3 linked regions of the Elephas maximus indicus genome follow. The protein of the gene in region 3 purifies or fractionates together with the protein of the main gene of each other region. This does not show direct contact. Links are inferred from orthologs where the notes say so. Each region holds a gene or a part of one and is shown on either strand. Other genes may lie near its edges.

Region 1 (7,728 bases), on a different chromosome or scaffold from region 3:
CACTGCCCTCTTGCCTTACAGATGGGGAAACCTAGGCCACCGAACCTCACTGCTGAACAGCTTACTAGATGGAGCCACAAAAAACCAGGAACAGTGGCTGTCTCTGGGCAAGGGAACTGGGGAGCTGGGCTAGGAAGCAAGACTCATTTGTCCTCTTATCCCTACTAGAAGCTTTGGAATTTTTCACCACGACCATGAATTACCTAAATATTAACAATGACAATAGCTAACGTTTATAGAAAGATTATGTACTAGATACTATCCACAAAACACTACAGACATTAAGTAGTATATTTCTCACAACACTACAAAATTGATATTATTAATATTCCCAGCTGGGGAAACTGAGACAGCTTGTCAGTGGTGCAGAAGGAGCTGGGCTAGTCAAAAGGCACCAGGCTACCTTTTAACTAAGCCTACCTCCTTTTCTGGAACACTGCCTCCCAGGCCCTGAGCCCGGTTGTTTTCAAACCTAATCTCTTTCATTCCGACAATTTCATAAAGACAGGGCCATATTATCCCTATTTCACAGGGACTCATGGATGGGGCCTATGAACCTCACTTCACACGGAGAGAGGTGGGAAACGGTGGGGCTGGGATCAGAATCCAAGCTTGCCTGTCCATGAACCTGGTGCTGGAAACACCCAGGCCACCGCCTCCACTACAGCCACAGGGCCTTTAAGAGAAGGAAAGGGGCGGGGCTCTCAGCGGCCAGACAGGAAAAGGCTGTGGGCCAGGGAGGAGGGTGTGGCTGGAAGAGGACACTGCAGGAAAGGGGGCATCGCCCAGACACCCTGCCCTTGGCACTTGGCACTGGGGAGCCGGGCATGGGGATGGGGACCAAATCACCTCTACACAGTAGTAAAGATTAACTCTTTTATAGACAGAAATAGGTATTCCCAAGAACATTCTTTAGAGCTTTGTGAAGGTCTTAAATATTTCATAACAAAATGTTACACACAGCAAGAAACAGAGGTGCTAGAACCTTCCTCCCATATACGAGTGGCTTGCCCAGCAGGTACATTACCCAGGAGACTGCTGTTTTAAGGAATGGGAGGCTCAAAGTTGAACTGGGGACCAGATACAGGAGCCAGTGTAGGGTCCCATAAGGATGGGGAAGTGCCCTTTGAGGATTTTCTGGATAAATGACTGGGAAGTGCCATATAGGAGGAGGTGGAGAACTCCTAGCCAGCATAAGCCCTCAGTTTGAGAGTATAACGGGCATAGGTGTGGGGGGTACAGGAGTTCTGATTTGGGGGAGCAGAGGATCAGACCATTAGATTTTATGAGAGTCATCCTATTGGCCCATGAGCACTACCAGTCAAGGACGGGGTGGCAGGTCACAGGTCACACAGACTTGGGATTCTGAGCTCTGGATCTGGGAGTTCTCTTGTGGGAGTCCCTGGGTGGTGCAAACAGTTAACGTGCTTGGCTGCTAACCCAAAGGTTGGAGGTTCCAGTCCACCCAGCGGCACCTCAGAAGAAAAGCCTGGCAATCTACTTCTGAAAAATCAGCCACTGAAAACCCTGTGGAGCACAGTTCTACTCTGACACACATGGGGTTGCCAAGAGTCGGAGTCAACTCGATCGATGGCAACTGGTACTTGTGTTGTGGGAAGACAGATAAAAGAAGGGGTAGTGAATTTAGAAATCAAATCAGTAGGGTCCCTGGGTGAGTGCAGGACCAATTTGGGCATCAGATAATGGCAGACCAGGCTGCGGGAAAGGGTAAGGCAGGGTGGGTGTTGGGTCCTGGGTTTGGGTTTAGCTGTGGGTTTCCAGTGCTGGCAGAGGTTCACACGGGAGGCCTGTCTTGGAGGTGGGTGATAATGGGGTCTGCAATATTAAACACAGGCAGGGGCTCTGGCTGGGCCGGAAGCCATGGAGACAGGTTTCCCAGTGTAATGGGAAATGAGATCTATAGTATGTGAGGCTGAAGGACAGTCAGAACTGGAAACTCCACAGGATGGAAGCTGGTGACTGAGTCTGGAGTTTCCAAAACCCTGGTCCTAGGCTGAACCGAGGAGTCCCTGGGTGGTGCAAGAAGTTAAGTGCTGGACTAGTAACCAAAAGATTGGCGGTTCAAACTCACTCAGAGGTGCCTTGGAAGTAAGGCCTGGCCATCTGCTTCCGGAAGGTTACAGCCTTGAAAACCCCACCGAGCAGTTCTACTGTGCACGCATGGGGTCGCCATAATTCGAAACAACAACAGGCAAGATGAGGACACTGGTGGATCGCAAATCTCACCTCTAGGGAAGGGGTCCCAGGTGCAGGTTGGGGTCCCAAGCCTAGGAACAGGAATCTGACTAGGAATTCCCATCAAGACCCCTGGAGGTGGATTCCAGACAGGATTAAAGTATTGGGGTTCCAGACCCTAGGATTGGGGGGCCTAGTGGAGTATCCCAGCTCAGAAGTGGGGATCCAAATAGGACCACAAATCACCTAGCTGAATTGAGGATCCAGGCTCTGAGGCAGGGTTCTGAGTGTAAATGGAAGATCGCGGACAGGACTGAGGATATACCCAACGCTTATCTTGGGAACCTAGACTGGGAAAATTGTTCTAGGGGTCAATAGGGAGTCCCACGCAGATCATCAAAGGGGTCTCGGGATCGCAGTAAGACGGACAGGGTCCTGGCGGTACTCAGGGTTCTGGAGTTGAATCGAGGGACCCCGGGAGATAATAAAAATCCGGAGTGTGAGGTGGGAGCACAGGTGTTAAAGGAGAGGTCCCTGGCCCGTACTTGGGGTCAGAATTCTGGAGCCGGGTCCGGGCGAGCGGGGAACCGGGCGGGCGCGTGCACTATACCTGGTGCCGCCAGCGGAAGAGGCTGGCTGTGTCGATGTTGGGGTGCGTCTCGTCTTCATCGTCAGATACTTCGATGTGGTCCCACACGCTGTAGTCCACCATCTTGCCTCAGCGGCCCAGCCCGCTCCGGCTCCCGCGGCGGCGGCGGCTGCAGCGGTGCTGAAGACACGGCCGCGGGGCCCCGCCCCTTCCGCTTCCGCCGGACACGCCCGCCCCCACTCGTGACGTCACATCCCTAGTAACCACGGCGGCGCCACTGGAGACCGAGCACGCCTTAAAGGGCACTGCGCACGTGTTCTGGCTGCGGGGAGTCTCCACTAAGACCCCGCCTCAGCGGGCCCGGGGGCTCCAATGGGCACCTCCTGAGGGCACACGGGAGGGCGCTCCAGCCACGATCTCCTTCATTTTTCGCCGCCCCACGGTGAGCGTTTGCAGCGGCCTCAAAGGGCAGTTGGCAAGAGTAAGGGCGGGGATTGTCCCCTTGGCCACGCCGCATGACGTCAACCTGAGCCCACTGCAGAGAAGGCCCGCCCCCTGCCTCTTGTGAGGGGACACTTAGCCCTGCGCTGGGAAGGGTGTGTGATCTAAGGGGACCTTTCCAATCTGAAGGCGACGTGGCACTGCCCTTAGGGGCTAGTATTTCCTCGGCTCAGACATCGGCCTCCACCTTCCAGGTCTCTTTCCCGCCCCCGTCTTCTGCCTCTCCTGAACGGGGACTCGAACACAGACACACGTCCCACTGGAATCACCCGGGCTCCTCCCCTCCCCCCCGCCTTCCTGGCGCCTGTCTCCACGCGCGGCCACTGAGTGTCGCTAATGTCTAGCCTGGGGCCAATGCTCCTGGCCCCGCGCCGGGCGGAGGAGCGTGGAGAGGCGGATGGGGGGCTTTCCTGGGCGCCGCTGTCTGGGGCCGCTCCTAGCTCCTTCCTTTTCGTCGGGGGCCCCTTCCTTGTCAAGGCTCCAAAGACTCCATTACTCTGAGCTTGGGGGACCCCGGCCGCAACCCACGCTTTGATACCAAGATAAAAGGCCTGGTTACAGCCCTGGGCCAGGATTATCAGATTAAAGGACGCTCGGCTGGGAGCGGATGGGAGGAGCTCTGGCACCCGAGCGAGGGGCACCACTTCCCAGACTCCCTCGAAGTCAGTGATTGGGGGACAGGAGAGAACGGAGGAAAGGTCTCCAGTTTGGGGGGGCAGGGAGTGCCCGGTCCGGGGGAGAGGGAGGGTCCAGACAGACAGACAAAAGCGCCCTCCCGCTGCCGACCTTCCTCCTAGCGGTCCATTCAAGCCCGCGAGTGGGCGGGCGGGGGCGGGGGAGTCCCCCCTCCCCCTCCAGCCCTGGCAGTCCAGCATCTCCGCGGCCGTCACCGCCCGGGGACGCGCGCGCACGTACCCACACACCGGCGGGATTCACAATCGCGCACACACATACACATTCCCTCCCCAGCCCCCCTGCAAGGTAAGCTTCGTGCTGCGAACTGCGGCGGGAAAGGGACCCAGTGCCGCGGACGGTGGGGGCCCGAACGGGGGGGTGTTTCCCCCGCCTCTCTGAAAACCCGGGCACCGCGTCTGCGCTCTGCGGGTTTCGGCCCAGCCGCCCGGCTCCGGGTGTGTGGGGAGGACCCCGGATGCAGGGGATTCCCCGGTAGGCACGGGGCGGGGGGTTCCTCCCCGGCTTTGGAACCTGAAGCTGCCGAGAAACAGAGTCTCAGGCGTCCCAGATCTCTAGAGCTGGCAACAGGGAATAGGCAGCTTCCCCATCAGCGCCAAATATTTCGTAGTCTCCTTCCAGCAAAGCATTTCCAGCCTTGGGGGCTGAGAGAGACAGACCCTTGAATTGCTTTACGCTGTCTTTTGGTCTTACCGCCGCATCAGTGCACCCCCTTGTGTCTCTTGTTTCTGCGGGGTGGGGTGGGAGCTGGGACTACTCCTCTCCGCTACCCCTGCTTCCTCTGCTGCATCCAACAGCCACACACCACTTAGCTGCGGCGGGAACCGAGCAAGTGGCTTTGCTTTCCTGAGCCTCAGTTTCCTCATCTGCGAAGTGGGTAACGACAGACTCATGGAAGTTATTAAGTCATGCATGCCAAGCCTCCCTTTGCTCCATCATTTATTTCTTGGCCTATTCCACACCTATTCCCCCAAGTGCCTACTGTACGCCAGGCCCTTTGGCAAAGGCGTGGGGCTGCAGTAATAAACAGCACCTAGGGGTCCCTGCTTTGCTGACTTTCCAGGCTGATGAGGGAGCAAGATCAGTGTGTAAACAGAGAAATACCCAAGGTGATTCCACACTGTGAAGACTAGAATTCCAGCAGGTGAGGAGAGGGACTGGGGGAGGGCGCACTCAAGATTAAATGAGATTTCTGGCTCATGTCTTCCTCATTCTCTTTGAGCTACAGGAGGGTAGGGCCAGGGCCAGAAGAGTGCCTGACACACAGTAGGTGCTCAATAAATGTTCAGCAAATTAAAGGGGAAATTAGGTTCATAGCATTTTAGATCAGGAAGGGAGCTTATCATGAAACAATCCAACCTCCACCCGGCCACCATTTTACAGATGAGACGATTGAGTCGCTGAGCCCCAGAGAAGGGGAAAGACATAGGCGACACAGCAGGGCAGATGGGGCATTGGTGGTTCAGTGGTAGAATTCTCACCTTCCGTGTGAGAGACTGGGTTCGATTCCCAGCCAATGCACCTCATGTGCAGCCATCACCCGTCTGTCAGTGGAGGCTTGTGTGTTGCTATGACGCTGAACAGGTTTCAGCGGAGGTGCTTCCGGACTAAGATGGACTAGGAAGAAAGGCCAGGCAATCTACTTCTGAAAATCAGCCAATGAAAACCCTATGGATCACAATGATCCAATCGGAAAGTGACCATGGTGATGGCACAGGACCAGGCAGTGTTTTGTCCTGTTGTGCATAGGGTCCCAATGAGTCAGGGCAGACTCAAAGACAGCTAGCAACAATAAATGAATGGTTGTGAACAGCTAGGACAGAAAGGGGTTAGAGAGCAGAATTGAGCACAGGGCACTCCTGGCTCCTGTGATACCCAGCCAGCGCCCACCACTCCCCCCACACCCACACAGACACAGCCCTGCCTTCTTTAATTCAACAAGTATTTATTGAGCACCTATTATATGCCAGGAGCCCTGGTAGTGTAGCGGGTAAGAGCTCGGCTGCTAACCAAAAGGTGGGCAGTTCAAATCCACCAACCACTCCTTGAAAACCATATGGGGGAGTTCTACTCTGTCCTATAGGGTCGCTCTGAGTCGGGACCGACTTGACACCACCTAAGAACAAAAACATTATATGCCAGGTGCTGGGGAACCAAACTCCCTGCCCATGGAGCTGACATTTAATAGAGGAAACAGAAAAGAAACAATATAAACAAATAAATACATAACAAATTGTTATTAGGACCGTGATGGAATAGGGGGCCTGTGACATTTCAAGTGGGATATCCAGGAAGATCTCTTGGAGGGATTAAATTACTCTTCAAACACAACCTCATGCACGCATGCAACCTGTGCACTCAAACCCAGACAAACCTAATGACACTAATACCATACACAGGTCCAAACCAACAGCCTAAGTAAGGGCCTGAGCAGGGATTTGAGCCCAGAACCTGCATTTCTGACCCCTGTGAAATGCTGCTTCCTGCTGTGTCCACATGCTTCTTTCCCTGCCACCCCCAGATGTCAACCTGTCATGTGTGCACGCTACACAACGCAATCTTAGAAAGTTCTGTCTGTCCAGGTATACACAAGTGGCCATGTCCAAAGCCGCACATGAGCACACGTGTCTGGGGCCCCTGATAGTCCTTCCCAGCCCTGCTCCAGCTCCAGGCATGGACCTTGGATAGTTACTGTCCCTCTACAGGCCTGAATGATCAGGGGATACTCAGGGACTTCATCCTCACTACTTTCTCTCTTGTGTGGCCACCCATCCCTGTCTCCTTCTGAGGGCTGTGGGGCTGCCAGGTGACAGGCCCAAGCTGCCCAGCGCTGTCTCCTCTGCCATCTGAACCCCCGCCCCAGCTGGCCTGCTGCCCGGGGAGGGAGGCAGGCTTAGAGGCGCCCCCCGCCTGGGGCATCAGGCCAGTTCACCCTGCCTCCCACTCACGGGCTTATATTGAGCTGATGTCTGCAGATGTCCATATGTGTCCAGTGGCGGCGGGGTGTGCGTCTCTGCTGCTGTCTCCGGCCTGTGAGCCTCCCCTGGACATCCACTCCTCCATGCCTTCCTTCATTCCACAAATCCTTGAGTGTCTACCACGTGCTGTTCCAGGCACTGGGGCAAACAGCCAGAACTGGCGACAGAATTTGCAGGGTCCGGGCAAGATGAAAATGTGGGGCTGGGGCCTGGGTGCCTGCACAGGTTGCACATCATGGAAACAAGAGCTGAGAAGAAAAATCGAGCTGAGGGGTGGGAGGGGTCTACCTCAGAGAAGGCCTCTGGAAGGAAGTGACTTTGAACAGAGACCTGAAGGAGGTGAGGGTACCACCTATTGCATGTCAGCAGTGTTCTAGGCCTTGGAACCCATCAGGGAACAAAACAGACCATCATCCCTGCTTTGTGTCCTAATCAAAGAAGAGACAATAACAATAATATGTTGCATATCTTGTTAGACTGTTATCCGTCTAAAACAAAACATGCAGTATGAAGGGGACCAGAGGAGTAGGAGAACACAGGATTTCTGAGGCTTGTTTCCCATCTGAAGGGAACAACAAGGGCAAAGGCCCTGAGGTGGGAATATGCTTGGAGTGTCTGAGGAACTAACTGTTAGGAGGCTAGTGGGGCTGGAGGAAAATGAGAGGCGGAGGGTGGGAAGAAGTAAGATTTCTGTTAATACGTTGCTATCTCTTGTGTCTGTCTATAGCTCCACATGAATCAAAAACAATAATAATTATTATTAGGATAGTA
Region 2 (7,936 bases), about 69 Mb from region 3:
CGCCAGCTACAGGCCTTAGTTTGCCAACTCCTGTTTTAGCTGGCCACCCTCCAATAGTGGAAGGCTGGGCTGGGCCTTTGCTATTTCAGGAACATTGAGGGTTGCACATAGTGCTGGGATTAAGGATTCAGGAGACTCCAGGTAGTCTGAAGCCCATCTTTACAGCCTCGCGTAACTTCCCTCACTCTTTAACATCAGAACTCCTTAGCATGGCATTTGCAGCCCTCTGTGACCTAACCCCTGTCGTCTGGGGTCCTCCTGCCTCCTTCATGGGTTTCTGTTGGCTTTGTATAAATGCCCTTTATTATGTTGAGGAATCTCTCTTCTATTACTATTTATTTTTTAAATAACTTTTATTAAGCTTCAAGTGAACGTTTACAAATCCAATCAGTCTGTCACATATAAGTTTACATACATCTCACTCCCTACTCCCACTTGCTCTCCCCCTCTTGAGTCAGCCCTTTCAGTCTCTCCTTTCTTGACAATTTTGCCAGCTTCCCTCTCTCTCTATCCTCCCATCCCCCCTCCAGACAAGAGTTGCCAACACAATCTCAAGTGTCCACCTGATATAATTAGCTCACTCTTCATCAGTGTCTCTCTCCCACCCGCTGATCAGTCCCTTTCATGTCTGATGAGTTGTCTTCGGGGATGGTTCCTGTCCTGTGCCAACAGAAGGTCTGGGGAGCATGGCCGCCGGGATTCCTCTAGTCTCAGTCAGACCATTAAGTTTGGTCTTTTTATGAGAATTTGGGGTCTGTATCCCACTGATCTCCTGCTCCCTCAGGGGTCCTCTGCTGTGGTTCCTGTCAGGGCAGTCATCGATTGTGGCCGGTCACCAACTAGTTCTTCTGGTCTCAGGATGATGTAGGTCTCTGGTTCATGTGGCCCTTTCTGTCTCTTGGGCTCTTAGTTGTCGTGTGGTTCTATTACTATTTAGCTGAGAGTTTTTATCATGAACGGGTGTTGGTCTTTCTCAAATGCCTTTTCTGTACCAATTAATAAGATCGTGTGGATTACATTGATTGTTTTTCTAATGTTGAACCATCCCTACACACCTGGTATGGATCCCACTTGGTCATGGTCAATTATTTTTTTGATATGTTGTTGGATTCTATTGGCTATAATTTTGTTTAGGATTTTTGTGTCTAAGTTCATGAGGGATGTTGGTCTGTAATTTTCTTTTTCTGTGGTGTCTTTACCTGGTTTTGATATCAGGATTATGCTGGTTTCATAGGATGAGCTTGGGAGTATTCTATCCTTTTCTATGCTCTGAAATACCTTTAGTAGTAGTGGTGTTAACTCTTCTCTGGAAGTTTGGTAGAATTCTCCAGTGAAGCTGTCAGGGCCAGGGCTTTTTTTTGATGGGAGTTTTTTAAATTACCTTTTCACTCTCTTCTTTTGTTATAGGTTTATTTAGTTGTTCTACCTATGTTTTTCTTAGTTTAGGTAAGTGGTGTGTTTCTAGGAATTTATCCATTTCCTCTAGGTTTTCAAATTTGTTAGAGTATAATTTTTCATAGTATTCTGTTATGATTCTTTTAATTTCAGTTTGGTCTGTTGTGACACCACCCATCTCATTTCTTATTTGGGTTATTTGCTTCATCTCCTGTTTTTCTTTTGTCAGTTTGGCCGACGGTTTATCGATTTTGTGGATCTTTTCGAAGAACTAGCTTTTGGTCTCATTAACTCTTTCAACTGTTTTTCTGTTCTCTATTTAATTCTGGTCTAATTTTTATTATTTGCTTTCTTCTGCTGCCTGAGGTCTTCTTCTGCTGCTATTTGTTTGAGTTGTAGGGATAATTCTTTGATTTTGGCCCTTTTTTCCTTTTGTATGTCTGCATTTATTACTATAAATTGACTTCTGAGCACCACTTTTGCTGTGTCCCAAAAGTTCTGATAGGAAGTGTTTTAATTCTCATTTGATTCTATGAATTTCTATATTTCGTCCTTAATTTCTTCTATAACCCAGTAGTTTTTGAGCAAGGTGTTGTTCAGTTTCCATTTATGATTTTTTTCCTTGCTTGTTCTGTTATTTCTACTTTTATTGCTTTATCATCAGAAAAGATGCTTTGTAATATTTCGATGTTTTAGGTTCTATTAAGGCTTGCTCTGTGGCCTAATATATAGTCTACGGTAGAGAATGTTCCATGTGTGTTGGGAACGAAATATATTTGGCTGCCACTGGTTGGAGCGTTCTGTATATACCTGTGAAATCATAACCATTGGTTTTGGCATTCAGATCTTCTGTCTTTATTGAGCATCTTTCTGGATGTTCTGTCCTTCTCCGAAAGTGGTGTGTTGAACTCTCCTACTGTTATTTTGGAGCTATCTTTTTTCAAAGCCATTAAAGTTTATGTACTTTGGAGCCCTGTCCTTGGATGCATAAATATTTACAATGGTTATATCCTCCTGGTATATTGACCTCATGGGTTTTTGAGTTTTGGTCCCTCTCTTGGATCTCTGTGCCTTTCCATACTTCTCCCTCTCCTGGGAGTAGACCTGTGCCATACCCCTAAGCATGCCCCCTTCCCCAGCCTAAGTTGGGGCCTCTGCTGCTCCTCCCATACCCCTCTGTCTCACACTTGGCCTGCTACAGCTCCACTCAATTGGGGGCTCCTTGTTCTGTGTGGACATCCCTGCATCCCCAGGGTAGAGCTCTTGGACACAGGTAGAGGTCATCCTTACAGACTTCCTGGACAAAAAGGTGGAATTTTTGCACTGAAAAAGGTGGAATTTCTGCACTGGCTCAAGGTTTGAGATTTTCTCATTTGGGGAAGTGCTGGAAGAGGGCCCTATTGTGACAGAGCAGGAGTCCAGTTCAGGGGAAGCCCATCCACAGGAGTAATTCCTGGTCCATTTTGGACTTGGGTCTCAGAGGGGAGACAGCACCCCCCAACCCATTTCTGGAGCAGGGACAGAGCTGGAGGAACAAGGGCTCTCAGCTGAGTGATTCTGGTGTCACTGAAACCTGCTTTTCCCTGTCCATGGAAGGCGGAGTTGCTTTTACCTCCCTCAAGGCTGTGAGATGTTGTGAATATGTTCTTTGTGACTGGGGAGCAGATTTCTGAGAAAGGGTATGCTGAGATATGAGGTTCTGGTTAGAGATCTGATCAGAAACAGAGCATGCTGGAGAATTCCTGACAGCATGGCCTATGAGACCCCCACACTCATCGGACTTCTCGTGGCCCTAGGCTTCTCATAGATCCTATAAAGGCACGTAGAACGGCAAGGTAAGATAAAAAGTGTGTGGTGGCAGCAGAGATTATGGGATGGAAGAGTGCCGCGGCAAGAAGAGAAAAGCAGGAGTCTTTCGTTCTCTGGAATTCAACAAAGAACAAAGAATTTGAAGGAAGACCGGGTGCCAGGGCTGGTGAGGGAGCACCGAAAAGTGGTGGTGGGGGAACCCCTCCCCAATATTCCAGGTGCAGAGAAGACAGGGAAAGGAGATGATGAACATGTACACAACAGGGAGTCACCATTCTCCCCTGGAGGAGCTGTGAGTCCTGCAGGCTTCCCGCAGGAAGCCTTGAAAAGGCAGAACAGCTTGCCAGCCGGAGAGGAAAGCACGAGGGGCAGAGAGGCAGGAGAGGCTTGGCGTCAGCAGCTCGCTAGGCAGGCGCACGGCCTGGTGCTCCGGTGCTGCAGCCAAAGGGGAACAAATTTGGTTCGGGTCGTCTGGAGCGTGCTGTCCTTCGGCCAGCATATTCATGCCGCCTCTGAGACCTCCGTCACCCTGCACAGGTCCCTGGAGATTCCACCACCGCCCCCCCCCACCGCCCACAGGCCCAAGGGAAAAAAAAAAAATAAAAAAACAGCTTTCGAAAAAACGTCTACGTGCTGGTGTAGGGAGGATGCAAGTCCCTGCGCCCCCTGCACGTGGGCGGCAGCAGGTCCCGGGAAGGTCCTTGGTACCGATTTTGTCCCCAGCCGCTCGGTGAAGTCGGCGCCCGGGGAGCCGCCCCGGGAGCCGCCCCAACAGCCCATGTGTTGTGTGACTGATAGAGTAGGGGAAAAAGTGTCAGTAAATCTCCCCGTTTACGCTCCACTCCACTCCACTCCTCCGCCCCCATACAAGGCTAGTCTCGCTGGTCCGATGGGCAGGTTTGAGCCTCCGGCCGCCTACACTAATTCGGATGAAAACCGAAGCGCCGCACAGAACCGGCGCAGAGACGCGGCCCCGGCCGCAGTGGGAGGGGCGAAACCGGTAGGACGAGCGGGGGCGGGGCCATCCAGAGCAGCCTAGAAACTGCTGGAAGGTTCGCAGTACCTCCACCGCTCCTTCCGCCGAGCGCCGGCAAAAAGTTCCCTTGCCAGCTAGCGCCCCTCCCCCCAGCCGTCGCCCAGCCCCCTAGCCAAACCCCGGCCCATCTTCCTGTTCCCAGGTGGGCCGGGGTTGAGGGGTCTGTCCGGAAATTGAGCCTCGCGTTCCACACAGGCCCGGAAGGAAGCCCCACCGTCTTGTTGAGATGTGTGGAGCGTTCCAGGAGGACGGCTGGGCCTGGGAGCTGAGGTGGCGTGGTTAGCCGCCCACACCTAAAACTGTGGTCTTTTCCAGATATTCCCCCCAAATCTAGAGAGAGCCAGCGGCTACTCAATTTTTTTTTTAAGGTCACCATTTATGCTATATAAACACTCCCAATCCCCCAATCCTGGTGGGGTCATGCCCTTTATCTGCAGAGAACGGACTGTGAACACGATAAAAGACGTGTGTGAACACACAGTAGATGTTACTGATGCAGTGATCCAGCGTCTGTGGAGCCAGTCGGCTTCTTCTATTCCTCCCCGCATCTCCCCCCAGCACTCCATGTTGGACCATGACGTCAGGTGGGCGGGCGGCTGCAGGTGCGGTGCTGACGGGCATCCTCCTTTAAGGCGGAGGGATCCCGGGCCGGGGTGCCGGGTTGTGCTTCGCTTTATATAGAGCGAGTGGGGGCGCAAGGCAGGTCTCTTGAGTCTCCGGCCGCGCGGTTTTATATCGTGCGAGCTGTGCACGGGCTTTAGCTAGGACTCGTTGGTATTTGTCACCCTTCCCATTCAAGGTAAGGCTGGGATCTTCTCCCCGGCTTTTCTCCCGCGAGCGTTTCTTTGAGTTGTTCTTTTCGCGTTTCCAAGTTCCAGGTATTGTGCGGGAACGGCCTTGGGACAAGTCTCCTTTTCTCTCAGGAGTGGGAAGGGGTCTCGAATTTGTCTTCGTTTCATTCCGTTTTTATGTGTTTGGGTGATGGCGGAGTTTGCCCTAGTTGGCGACTAGCTCCGGGCGAGGTGGGACGCAGTGTGGGTCTAGAGTGGTGGTCAGCCGCACGTGGTGGCCGCGCGGGTCCGGTACGCTGCCATGTTGGCCCCTACACTTCCGGACGTGGCTACGGGGCGCACAAGGGTCCTTAAGGTTGTGGGTCTGCGCGTTTGAGGTGACTCAGCACAGCCTTGTGAAGCCAGCCTCACTCGCTGACTTGCTCGGTGTTCTTCAAGTCCAGCAGATCCGTTTTTTGGAGGGTCCGTGGCGGGGGTGGGATGGGACACGGACGCTTTCGGCGTTATTCGGCCCCCCGTGTTTCATCCCTGTTTCCAGATCTTTCTGGCATTCCGGGGGGGAGGGGCTTTGAAGGATTCATGGGTTCTGTATCACTCCCGCCCCTGACGAGAACTGGGTTTGTTCTGGAAGCTTCTGGAGCCAGGCGCCCCGCCCCGGTGCCCGGATGCTGGGGCGGAGGCGGGCTGTGCGGCGGCGCCCCCTCCTCGCGTGGCCGCAGCCGGCGCATGTCCGGCAGTGACGAGGGTCGGTCCGGCGGGCTGCGGCCACCATCTTAGTTGTTTGCTCTGGTTTTAGGTTTTAGTTTGTAGCTGTGGGGTCGTGTTGGAGCTTTTGTTTTCTCGTTCTTTGTCCTATTTAATTGCATTTCATGGACAGGTTCTCCATCGATCCTCATGTTGCCTTCCCCTTCCGCGTGGGCCAGCATTCTTGGTGCCTGGACGGTTCCGTATTCTTCGGAATTAGACATTTTTAATGGAGGACTAATTTTAATTAGTGCTGTTTCAGTTTTAATTTAGTATTCAGGTTGTTTTAGTCTTTACGTCGAAAACGGTAATGCTTTGCATATGTGAACCTGTATTAGTAGGGTTTTCTCTGGGCGTTCAAAATACCTGGGGTAGGGCCGGTGTTCTGTGTTTTTTAGCACGGTGCTAGAAAACGAGGTTCCTGGGCCAATGAGTAGCAGTGCTTTACTTACCTTCCCCCCAAAAATTGTTTTGTTGAAATGTTCTAGGTTTTTCTGAAAATCATAATAGAATAGGGCCTCCAGTTTCTTGGCAGTGAGTAGTGCTCAGCCCAAAGTCCCTTGAACTAAACCACTTTTTAGTCTTGATACATGGGCCGGGGTGGAATTTAGGGGTTTGGGACTGAAAGGGCAAACACTGGGTATTCTGTTCCTTTGTAATATCTGATTGTTCTTACTGCAGATGCCTGAGGAGGTGCACCATGGAGACGAGGAGGTGGAGACCTTTGCTTTCCAGGCAGAGATTGCCCAGCTCATGTCTCTCATCATCAATACTTTTTATTCCAACAAGGAAATTTTCCTTCGGGAGTTGATTTCTAATGCTTCTGATGTGAGTTTCTGGTATAGTCCGAGCATTCCAGAAGAGGGAGATGGGTAGTTTGACATTTGGTTGGGGCATCTATTGAAGGAAGGAACCCCTGGTAGCACTTTGGGCTGCTGGCAGTTCCAGCTTACTGGTGAAGGAGAAGAAACCTGGAGAGTTCCCATAAAAATAACAGCCTAGGAAACTGGGGCAGTTCTGCTCTGTCCTGTGTGGTCACTGTGAGTTAGCACACAAGAACTGTTGGAGTGAACCGTACCCTGTTGAAGGGAATGAACCTTGTTGTCTGTGGGTCCATGTTGAGCTTCAAAGGGAGGAGAAGGGGGTCTTCTTGGAGACCACTTACCTAAGTGACTGGTTTTTTAGCCTTGTTTTAAGGGGTAATCAGAAATTGGGGCTGTTTGGGAGTAAAAAGGAGCCTTGGTGGCTGCTAACCAAAAGGCTGGCAGTTTGAATCCACCAGCTGCTCCTTGGAAACCTATATGGGGCGGTTCTACTCTATGGTTGTATGAGTCCGAATTGACTTGATGGCAGTGGGTGGTTTGGGAGTAGAAAACCTAAGGGTTTTCTTTGGATGAAGAGATGGAGCTTAAGGAAGCAGATTCTAAAGCTGTTACTTGTATTATTTTCAGGCCTTGGACAAGATTCGTTATGAGAGTCTGACTGACCCTTCTAAGTTAGACAGTGGTAAAGAGTTGAAAATCGACATCATCCCCAACCCCCAAGAACGCACTCTGACGCTGGTGGACACAGGCATTGGCATGACCAAGGCTGATCTCATAAATAATTTGGGAACCATTGCCAAGTCTGGGACCAAAGCATTTATGGAGGCTCTGCAGGTATGTAGCATTTTAGCTAGGCACACACCATTTACATTCATCCACGTTCTTCAGCTTGCAGTTCTTTCAAAACTGGCCTTTTTTTTTTTTTTTTTTTAACTCTTTGGTAGGCTGGTGCAGACATCTCCATGATTGGGCAGTTTGGTGTTGGATTTTATTCTGCCTATTTGGTGGCAGAGAAAGTGGTTGTGATTACGAAACACAATGATGATGAGCAGTATGCTTGGGAGTCTTCTGCTGGGGGTTCTTTCACAGTTCGTGCTGACCACGGTAAGTACTGTGGATTTTGTGTTAAAGATTAAAAGTCTTAGAATTGTTTGCGGGTGTTCTGTAGTAGAAATTTTGTTACATCGTGAAGCAGTTTGTCTTACAGTACAGTTACATGGTCTTATCTGTTACGTTCAGTTCCACGTGACTTCTTTTTCTAGGTGAGCCCATTGGTCGGGGTACGAAAGTGATTCTGCACCTTAAAGAAGACCAGACAGAGTACTTAGAAGAGAGGC
Region 3 (7,740 bases):
CATTCTGAACATGAGAAAGAATAAAAGTCTATTGCTTTTGAGCCATTATATTAGGGGGGGCAGTGGGTTTTGGGTTACTTGCTAAATGGAATCCCTGGGTAATGAAAATGGTTAATGTGCTTGACTGCTAATGAAAGGTTGAAGGTTTGATTCCACCCAGAAGTGCCTTGGAAGAAAGGCCTGGTGATCTACTTCTGAAAAACCAGCCATTGAAAATGCTATGGAGCACAGTTCAGCTCTGACACACATGGGGTCACCATGAGTTGGAGTCGACTCAGCGACAACTAGTGGTAGTGATCTGTCAAACCTACTAACATGAGCCTAATTAATATGCAGTGCCTACTTTTTTTTTTTTTTTAACACATACCAAAGACTAATTCACACTAGAAACTACTGAGGTACCACTTGATAAGAGACAAGATAAATAAGGCCAGGTTCCTTTTCACGATGTGCTGACCAAGCAATGGTGGAAACACACACACCAAACATAATGTCTGCTATTGAAGCTTGAAAATAAAATAGTTCGGGGTGGACGGATACAGAGGAGGCACGATAACTTGTTTGGATGATATAAAATACGGAAGGCTTCACAGAAGAGATGACATTTAAGCTGGGCCCTGAAAGTTAAATAGGACTTTGCTAAGCAAGTCAGATGGGGTTGGGGATTTCAGACCCAGGAGAAAGCATGGAGCAAAAACACAGAAAGCAGAGTGTGGTTTTGTTCACACTCAGCCTTATGCAAGAAGTCTCTTTAACTTGGTCAAAAGAGTGTGAGTTTATTGTGCACTGACTCTCCTTCCTGGGTCTGGAATCAAACAAACAACCCTTTGTCTTTATAATACACTCATTAACCCATTGCTTTTTCTAATGTAAAAGTTCCACGATGAATGTCCTTAGAAAATGCAGAAGTAAACGTTTAATGAACCGTAACAGCTCCTTCCTAGTAAAAGTCTTTAAGAATAAACTTGTTCCATTACTTATAACAGTCAAGGAGCCATGTTCCTAGGAGTCAACACGTTCAACCTCAGCTTTGACACTATCCACTAAGCATGAAATAATCACTGGCTTACAAAATGGAACATAAGCCCCCAGATTTATATTACCATTTCCTCTTTAAGAGGAACGTCAAGCAGATGGTTTAGAGTTCAGTCAAAAGATTCTCTATATCCCTGTTCATATCTCACTGTCCCCAAAGCCTTAGATAGTTAACAAACCACTTCCTCTGAAAGTCCGTGGGTCTCTTCATCAGAAATCACAGTACCCATGGGGCAGGGACTGGGTAGAAAGAGAGCACAAAGGGTGGAAAGTATTGCAGTTGCTTGGGGGTGTGAGGAAGGATGTGGGCGTCTGAAGGCTACCCTGAAGCAGGGAAGAGACAGTCTCCAGCAGTCTTCCAAATGCCAATTCAATGCTGTTTTATTAATGTCCCTAGGTACTTATTTAAACCTAATGGTAAACCAGCATCACTGGGCAGACAAGATTCCTTTTCAAAAGACTTCAGCGCAGTGGCCTTAGACTTGGGAGAAGCAGCAAGTCAGGCTGCATCGCTCTTATCAAACACCAATTTAATTTTCTGACTTAGAAACAAAATTCTTCTGCTCCCACGCCAACTTATCGAACCCCAACTCATGGTACCCAATTTCAAAAAAAGAAGGTGGAGCTACCTAGAACACTAAAGCAACTCTTAAAAGACTGCTGTAATCATTTTCTCCTTGAATCTAGGAAACGCTGCAGCTGCCAGTCAACACTGCCGGTCCGTGAACACAGTAAAATGCCCCATGAACACAGCAAAATGCCGGCACCTGCCACCCTGCATCTGGGGCCTTTTATTTTTTGGTAAATGTGGCAGGAAAGACTCTCACAAAGAAGATCAACTGCTTCATCTGAGCGAAAGCGAAGCCCTAGGGAAGAGAAACAAGAAGCATCGGGCCCATCCTTGGGTACTTTGTGTGTCTCTTCTCTGTGCACTGAAAGAGCCCTTTGTGTCACACATACACACACACACCCGGGGAGCCTGTGTGATTTACTGGGGGAGGAGGGACAAGAAGGGTGATTTTATTATCCCTCTTCTCAACGAGTCTTAGCAATTCTCCTCCCTGGACCCAAGCTCGGTGGCCTCTTTCTGGTCCAGTCATCTCCGCCTGTGGCCGCAGAGATAAGAGAAGGGAGGCGACCAAACAAAAAAAACAGCCATCGATCCAGGGAAGCGGAGAGGAAATACAGCGATCGGCGAAGGGAGAAAGAAGCTTGAGGGAACAGCAGGAGTAGGGGGCAGAGAAAGAGGAGGGAAGGCTCCAGCACAGGGGAAGAGGAAGGGTGGGTGGGTGGGTGGGTGGTGGCACAGGAAGAGTGAAGGGGAGGATGGGGGAAGTACAAGGGAGGTGCCAGAAATAGGCAGAAGGATGCGAAGGGGAAGGAGACGGCCGCAGAGGGAGGAGGAGGCCGAGAGGTGGAGTGGGGCAGGGGTGGGGTGGGGTGGGGTGGGGTGGGGAGGGAAGCAGCACGGGGCATCAATTATTAAGTGATTACATCATCGCTGACATTAAAACAACACACACAGCCCTGGTTCCCGCGAGGGGCCCTGAAAGGAGGGCGGGGGCGGAGCCCGAGTCCCGGCCAGCCTCGCCCCCAAGCCAATTCCTATTCTCACTCGGCGCCGGCTCGCGGGCTGGGAAATGGGCCCCCATCCCTGCGCTGCCCCGCGGCGCCCTCCGCAGAGGTGTCCTCCCGCTTGGCCGCGGGAAGTCCCCGAGCACGGCCAGCTCCCCGGCAGCCCGCGGAGAGGCCGGGAGGCGGCGGCGGCCGAGGGACTGCAGCGCGGGGCCCCGCGGCGGGGGGGCGCGGAACCGGGGCGCCGAAGGCCGGGCGGCCCCGCAGCATCCCCACTGCTTCCCGCGCGCATCCTCGGCCGCTTACCTGCGCGGCGCTCAGGCTCCGGAGCCCATTCACATGGTCCTCTCCCCGCCCTCCTCCGGCGCGGCCAAGGCGGCTCCGGCGGCTACTCGGCTGGTCCCGGAGCCGGGGCGCCTTCCGAGAGAGCAGAGGGGCGGCGCCGGGGTTCCCCGGCCCGGCCGCCGGGTCCCTCTGTGGCGCGGGCGGCGGCTTTGTGTGAGCCCGGGAGCCCTCGGTGCGCGGGGAGAAGCGCCGCGCGCCCGGACGGCGGAGGACGCGCGGCTCGGAGAGCAGCCTGGCCTCTGCTCCGAGGCCGGCGGGCGGGCGGGCGGGTCTCGGAGGCCCTCGGCTCGCGGCGACCCCTCCTCCTCTCCCACGGCAGCCCCCTCCCCGCCGGCTCCGCTCCTGACAGATGGCGCAACTGCAAAGACGCACCGCCTGCTCGCAGCTACTCCCGCTGATGCTCGCGCCCCTCCAGCCCGGGAGGGAGGCGAGGAGGGGGCGGGACGCGCCGTGAGAGTGGCAGCCCCCGCTCCCCAATCAAAGGGCCCCTTGAGAGCTGCGGGCGGCGACCATTGGTTCCTGGGGCGGGGGCGGGACCGCAGTGGGTGGGGCGGCCGAGTGGGTACAGCGTTACTGTGGCAGCCGGCATCCTGGCGTGCGTGCCGTTGTGGGGTGTGCGACGGGATGAGAGGTTGGAGGAGTTTTTTGTTTTTAAAGGATTGTGGAGTTGTGAGGTGGTGGGTTAGGGCGGGGAAAGGAGAGGAGGTGTGAGCTGCGGTTTCTGCTTTATGGAAGGTTGCTGATGCCACTGCAGATTAGCATCTTCCATTCCCCCAAACATAGGAACCTGCCTCGAAAATGGGGTGCCATGCCTTTCTGGTGTCTTTTTGTTTAAGGGTCGGAGGATAAAATGCGAAAATGTTAGAGTAGGAAAGCGTTTCTTCTGGTCAAACTGAAAAGAGTACGGAGCAAGGTAGAATTCTACCACAGAAACTGGAAAAGCTGGGAGAACCCTGGAAACGCACACAGCAAATAATAACAACAGTAATAATAAAAACTAAAAAAAAAAAGTTAGGAATTAATATATTTGTCTTCCATTTTCATAGATATACTTACATATTTCTATTTTCAAACAAAAATCTCGAGGAAGTGTTACTGAAACGGGGAGAGAGGGAGGCTGTGACAAAGGAACCCACGATCACAGAGTAGAGATTTGTTTGTACATTTCTTCCCAAAATCATGTTTAATTGTAGCCAGTGGTTGTCTTTGATTTTCCATGGCTTTTTCCCTACACTGAATCTGAGCCTTTGCTCAGGTTTCCCTTGATGAAATAATAGCCGGTGTATAGTATACAGTGGTGGAGTGCATCAGTCTTTATTTCCTATCCAGCTTTTCTATGGCAGGATGTAACTTCATGAAAAGAAACACGTTGGCTTCCTGATTTTCTTCATAGGTAATTCCTGTTTACAGAAAGCTCTGCTTCAAGGCATGCCCAGAATCATTCTCCTTAACGATGTTGGCAAAAACTCTCCCTCCTCTCTCAGCAAAACTAATGCTCTAAGAAATATAAGTGAATCAACTTCTGCTTCTATGCTCAAAATCTATAATATTACCTTTCTTGCCCACTAATTAAAAAAAAAAATCAGTTGTGCTGACTCTTTTCTTTTTTGTACTCAGTAATTTTTTTTTTTTTTTTAAAGTTGCTAACACTTATCGAAGGATCCCCATTGTATGGATGAGGAAACTGAAGAAAAGAGAAGAAACTCAAGGGGATAGATGATACAGAGTGGTTACTACTTTTTGTTTTTGCTTTTTTCTTCTTAAACAAGCAAAAAATAAAACCATGTTTAAATTGTATGCCTGGTAATTCATTCCATACTTCCAAGAAATGGAACCACAGCTAGGTCTAGAAGATTTCCATACAAGAGAATGCCAACCTCATCTAGCCAAGAATTGCGTATCTCAAGAGAAGGGGCTCTTCTTCCTTAGTTCTTAGACTTCCATGACTGTCCTGGATTTATTTAGCCTGGGATTGGAGAGGCAGTTGTCTAGATCAATGTTTCTCAAACTTGAGGGTGCATCAAAATTATCTCAATGGGCTTGTTAAAACACAGATTTCTGGGCTCTATCCACAGAGGGTCTGATAATGTGTGTTTGGAATGGGGCCCAAAAATTTGCACTTCTAACAAGTTCCTGGATGCTGATGCTACTGGTCTGGAGACCACATCTTGAGAACCACCGCCACAGTGGTGTTCTGTCCAGTGAAGTAGCCATATATGTATGGTTAATGAGTACTTGAAATGTACTTGAGTACTTAAAATTTGACTAGTGGAAATTGAGATGTGCTGTAAAAAACACGCTTGACTTCTAACATTTAGCATGAAAAATAAGAATGTAAAATATCTAATAATTTTTATATTGGTTACATGTTAAGATGATGGTAATCTGTTTATACTGTTCTAAAGAAATATATCATTAAAGTTAATTTCACCTGTTTCTTTTATGTTTTTAATATTGCTGCTAGAGAATTTAAAATAACAGATGTAGGTTGCATTCTGTTTCTGTTGGACTGCACTGGTCTAGAGGAATGGAGTTGTTTCTGATTCCAGCTCTATAGTGCTCTGGTGGGAGCACCTTGATAAGCCAAGACACTTAACCCTTCTGAATCTTAGTGTCCTCATACATAAAATCGGTGAAATAGTAATCCTAATCTCACACTAGCCTCATCTATTACAAGAATAATCATTGTTAGGATGTAGTCCTCCTTGGAATTCCACATTAGACTCAATCTATTTTATATGAAATCTGGAGCAGGTGGGGTGTCATGGGTTGAACTGTGTCCCCCCCAAAATATCTGTCAACTTGGCTAAGTCATGATTCCCAGTATTGTATGATTGTCTACCATTTTGTCATCTGATGTGATGTGTTGTAAATCCTATGGCTATGATGTTATGAGATGGATTAGTTGCAGTTATATTGATAAAATCTATAAGATTAGGTAGTATTTTAAGCCAATCTCTTTTGAGATGTAAAAGAAAGAAGCGAGTAGAGAGATATGAGGACCTCATACCATCAAGAAAGCAGCACCTGGAGCACAGCGTGTCCTTTGGACCTGAGGTTCCTGCAGAGAGATGTTCCCAGACCAAAGGAAGACTGATGCATCACAAAGACCTTCCTCCAGAGCCCACAGAGAGAGAAAGCTTTCCCCTGGAGCTGGTGCCCTGAACTCAGACTTCTAGCCTACTGGACTGTGAGAGTATAAACTTTTCTTTGCTAAAGCCATTCGCTTCTGTTTTTTCTGTTATAGCAGCATTAGATGACTAAGACATGGGGCAAGGCAGCTCGTTGTTTATGACTTCTTCAAAAGGACTCAGTCACTTTTTAGCCTCTGCAACTCTAGCAGCTTCTTGATCTAATTAGTGGACGAAAAGAAGAGACAATGAAATTAAAATGATAGATTAACTTGCTCCCATCGAGACTTCATCCTGTTTTTGCAATTCTTTTCTTGCCTATCATTTTATCTGCTGGTCTTCTTAAATGTAGCTTTAAATGGATTTGGCCTCCTCGAGAGAATTTGCTAATGGTCTGAACAAGTGTATCCAAAACCAAACCCTTTGCAGTGGAGTGGATTCCAATCTGTAGTGACCCTATAGGTCAGAGTAGAACTGCCCCATAGGTTCCAAAGGCTGTAATCTTTTCGGAAGCAGACAGCCTCATCTTTCTCCTGTGGAGAGGCTGGTGGGTTCCAGCTACTGACCTTTGCAGTAAACGCTTAACCTATTGCACCACCAGGGCTCTTTGAACAAGTGTATAAACCAAAACCCAAACCCAAGTCCTTTCTGACTCAGCAACCCTATAGGACAGAATAGCAACCCTATAGGACAGAGTAGAATTGCCCCATAGGGTTTCCAAAGAGCAGCTGGTAAATTTGAACTTCTGGCATTTTGGCTAGCAGCAGAGCTCTTGCAACTATATGTTGTTGTTGTTGTTAGGTACCGTGGAGTCAGTTCTGACTTACAGTGACCCTATGTACAACAGAAGGAAACACAACCTGGTCCTGTGCTACCTTCATAATCATTATGCTTGAGCCCATTGTTGCAGCCACTGTGTCAATCCATCTCCTTGAGGGTTTCCTGTTTTTCATTGACCCTCTGCTTTACCAAACTTGATGTCCTTCTCCGGGGACTAGTCCCTCCTGATAACATGTCCAAAGTATATGAGACAAAGTCTTGCCTCCTTGCTTCTAATGAGCATTCTGGCTGTACTTCTTTCAAGACAGATTTGTTCATTCTTCTGGCAGTCCATACCCACCCAACCCAGTGCCATCAGTCCAGGTCCATGGTATATTCAATATTCTTCCCCAACACCATCATTCAAAGGGGTCAGTTCTTCAGTCTGCCTTATTCATTGTCCAGCTTTCACATGCATATGAGGCGATTGAAAACACTAGGTGCTTGGGTCTGGGGCAGCTTAGTTCTTAAAGTGACATCTTTGCTTTTTAACACTTTAAAAGAGGCCTTCTGCAGCAGATTTGCCCAATGCAACGCGTCTTTTGATTTCTTGGCTGCTACTTCCATGGATGTTGATTGTGGATACAAGTAATATGAAATCCTTGGCAACTTCAATTTTTTCTCCATTAATCATGATGTTGCTTATTGGTCCAGTTGTAAGGATTTTTGTTTTCTTTATGTTGAGGTGTAATCCATATTGAAGGGTGTGGTCTTTCATCTTCATCAGTAAGTGCTTCAAATCCTTTTCACTTTCAGCAAACAAGTTTGTGTCATCTGCATATCTCAGGTTATTAAGGAGTCTTCCTCCAGTCCTGATGCCATGTTCTTCTTCATA

Evidence for each region. The genes of interacting proteins can lie anywhere in the genome.
Region 1: the proteins of FYN (region 3) and CDC37 purify together in Homo sapiens (affinity purification with mass spectrometry; 5 studies listed by BioGRID and IntAct, counting the BioPlex papers as one, with this or other methods). This does not show direct contact. The link is inferred for Elephas maximus indicus from reciprocal best matches to the Homo sapiens genes FYN and CDC37.
Region 2: the proteins of FYN (region 3) and HSP90AB1 purify together in Homo sapiens (affinity purification with mass spectrometry; 4 studies listed by BioGRID and IntAct, with this or other methods). This does not show direct contact. The link is inferred for Elephas maximus indicus from reciprocal best matches to the Homo sapiens genes FYN and HSP90AB1.

Annotation. Positions count from the first base shown.
Region 1 is NC_064821.1:28,499,716-28,507,443, forward strand, and holds the start of CDC37 (hsp90 co-chaperone Cdc37), read right to left. Parts: upstream 3,011-7,728; 5' UTR 2,909-3,010; coding exon 2,807-2,908; intron 1-2,806. UniProt on the Homo sapiens protein: Co-chaperone that binds to numerous kinases and promotes their interaction with the Hsp90 complex, resulting in stabilization and promotion of their activity. Inhibits HSP90AA1 ATPase activity.
Region 2 is NC_064819.1:108,806,381-108,814,316, forward strand, and holds the start of HSP90AB1 (heat shock protein HSP 90-beta), read left to right. Parts: upstream 1-4,926; 5' UTR 4,927-5,039; intron 5,040-6,456; coding exon 6,457-6,603; intron 6,604-7,226; coding exon 7,227-7,433; intron 7,434-7,543; coding exon 7,544-7,703; intron 7,704-7,861; coding exon 7,862-7,936. UniProt on the Homo sapiens protein: Molecular chaperone that promotes the maturation, structural maintenance and proper regulation of specific target proteins involved for instance in cell cycle control and signal transduction. Undergoes a functional cycle linked to its ATPase activity.
Region 3 is NC_064819.1:177,871,782-177,879,521, forward strand, and holds the start of FYN (tyrosine-protein kinase Fyn), read right to left. Parts: upstream 3,008-7,740; 5' UTR 2,917-3,007; intron 1-2,916. UniProt on the Homo sapiens protein: Non-receptor tyrosine-protein kinase that plays a role in many biological processes including regulation of cell growth and survival, cell adhesion, integrin-mediated signaling, cytoskeletal remodeling, cell motility, immune response and axon guidance.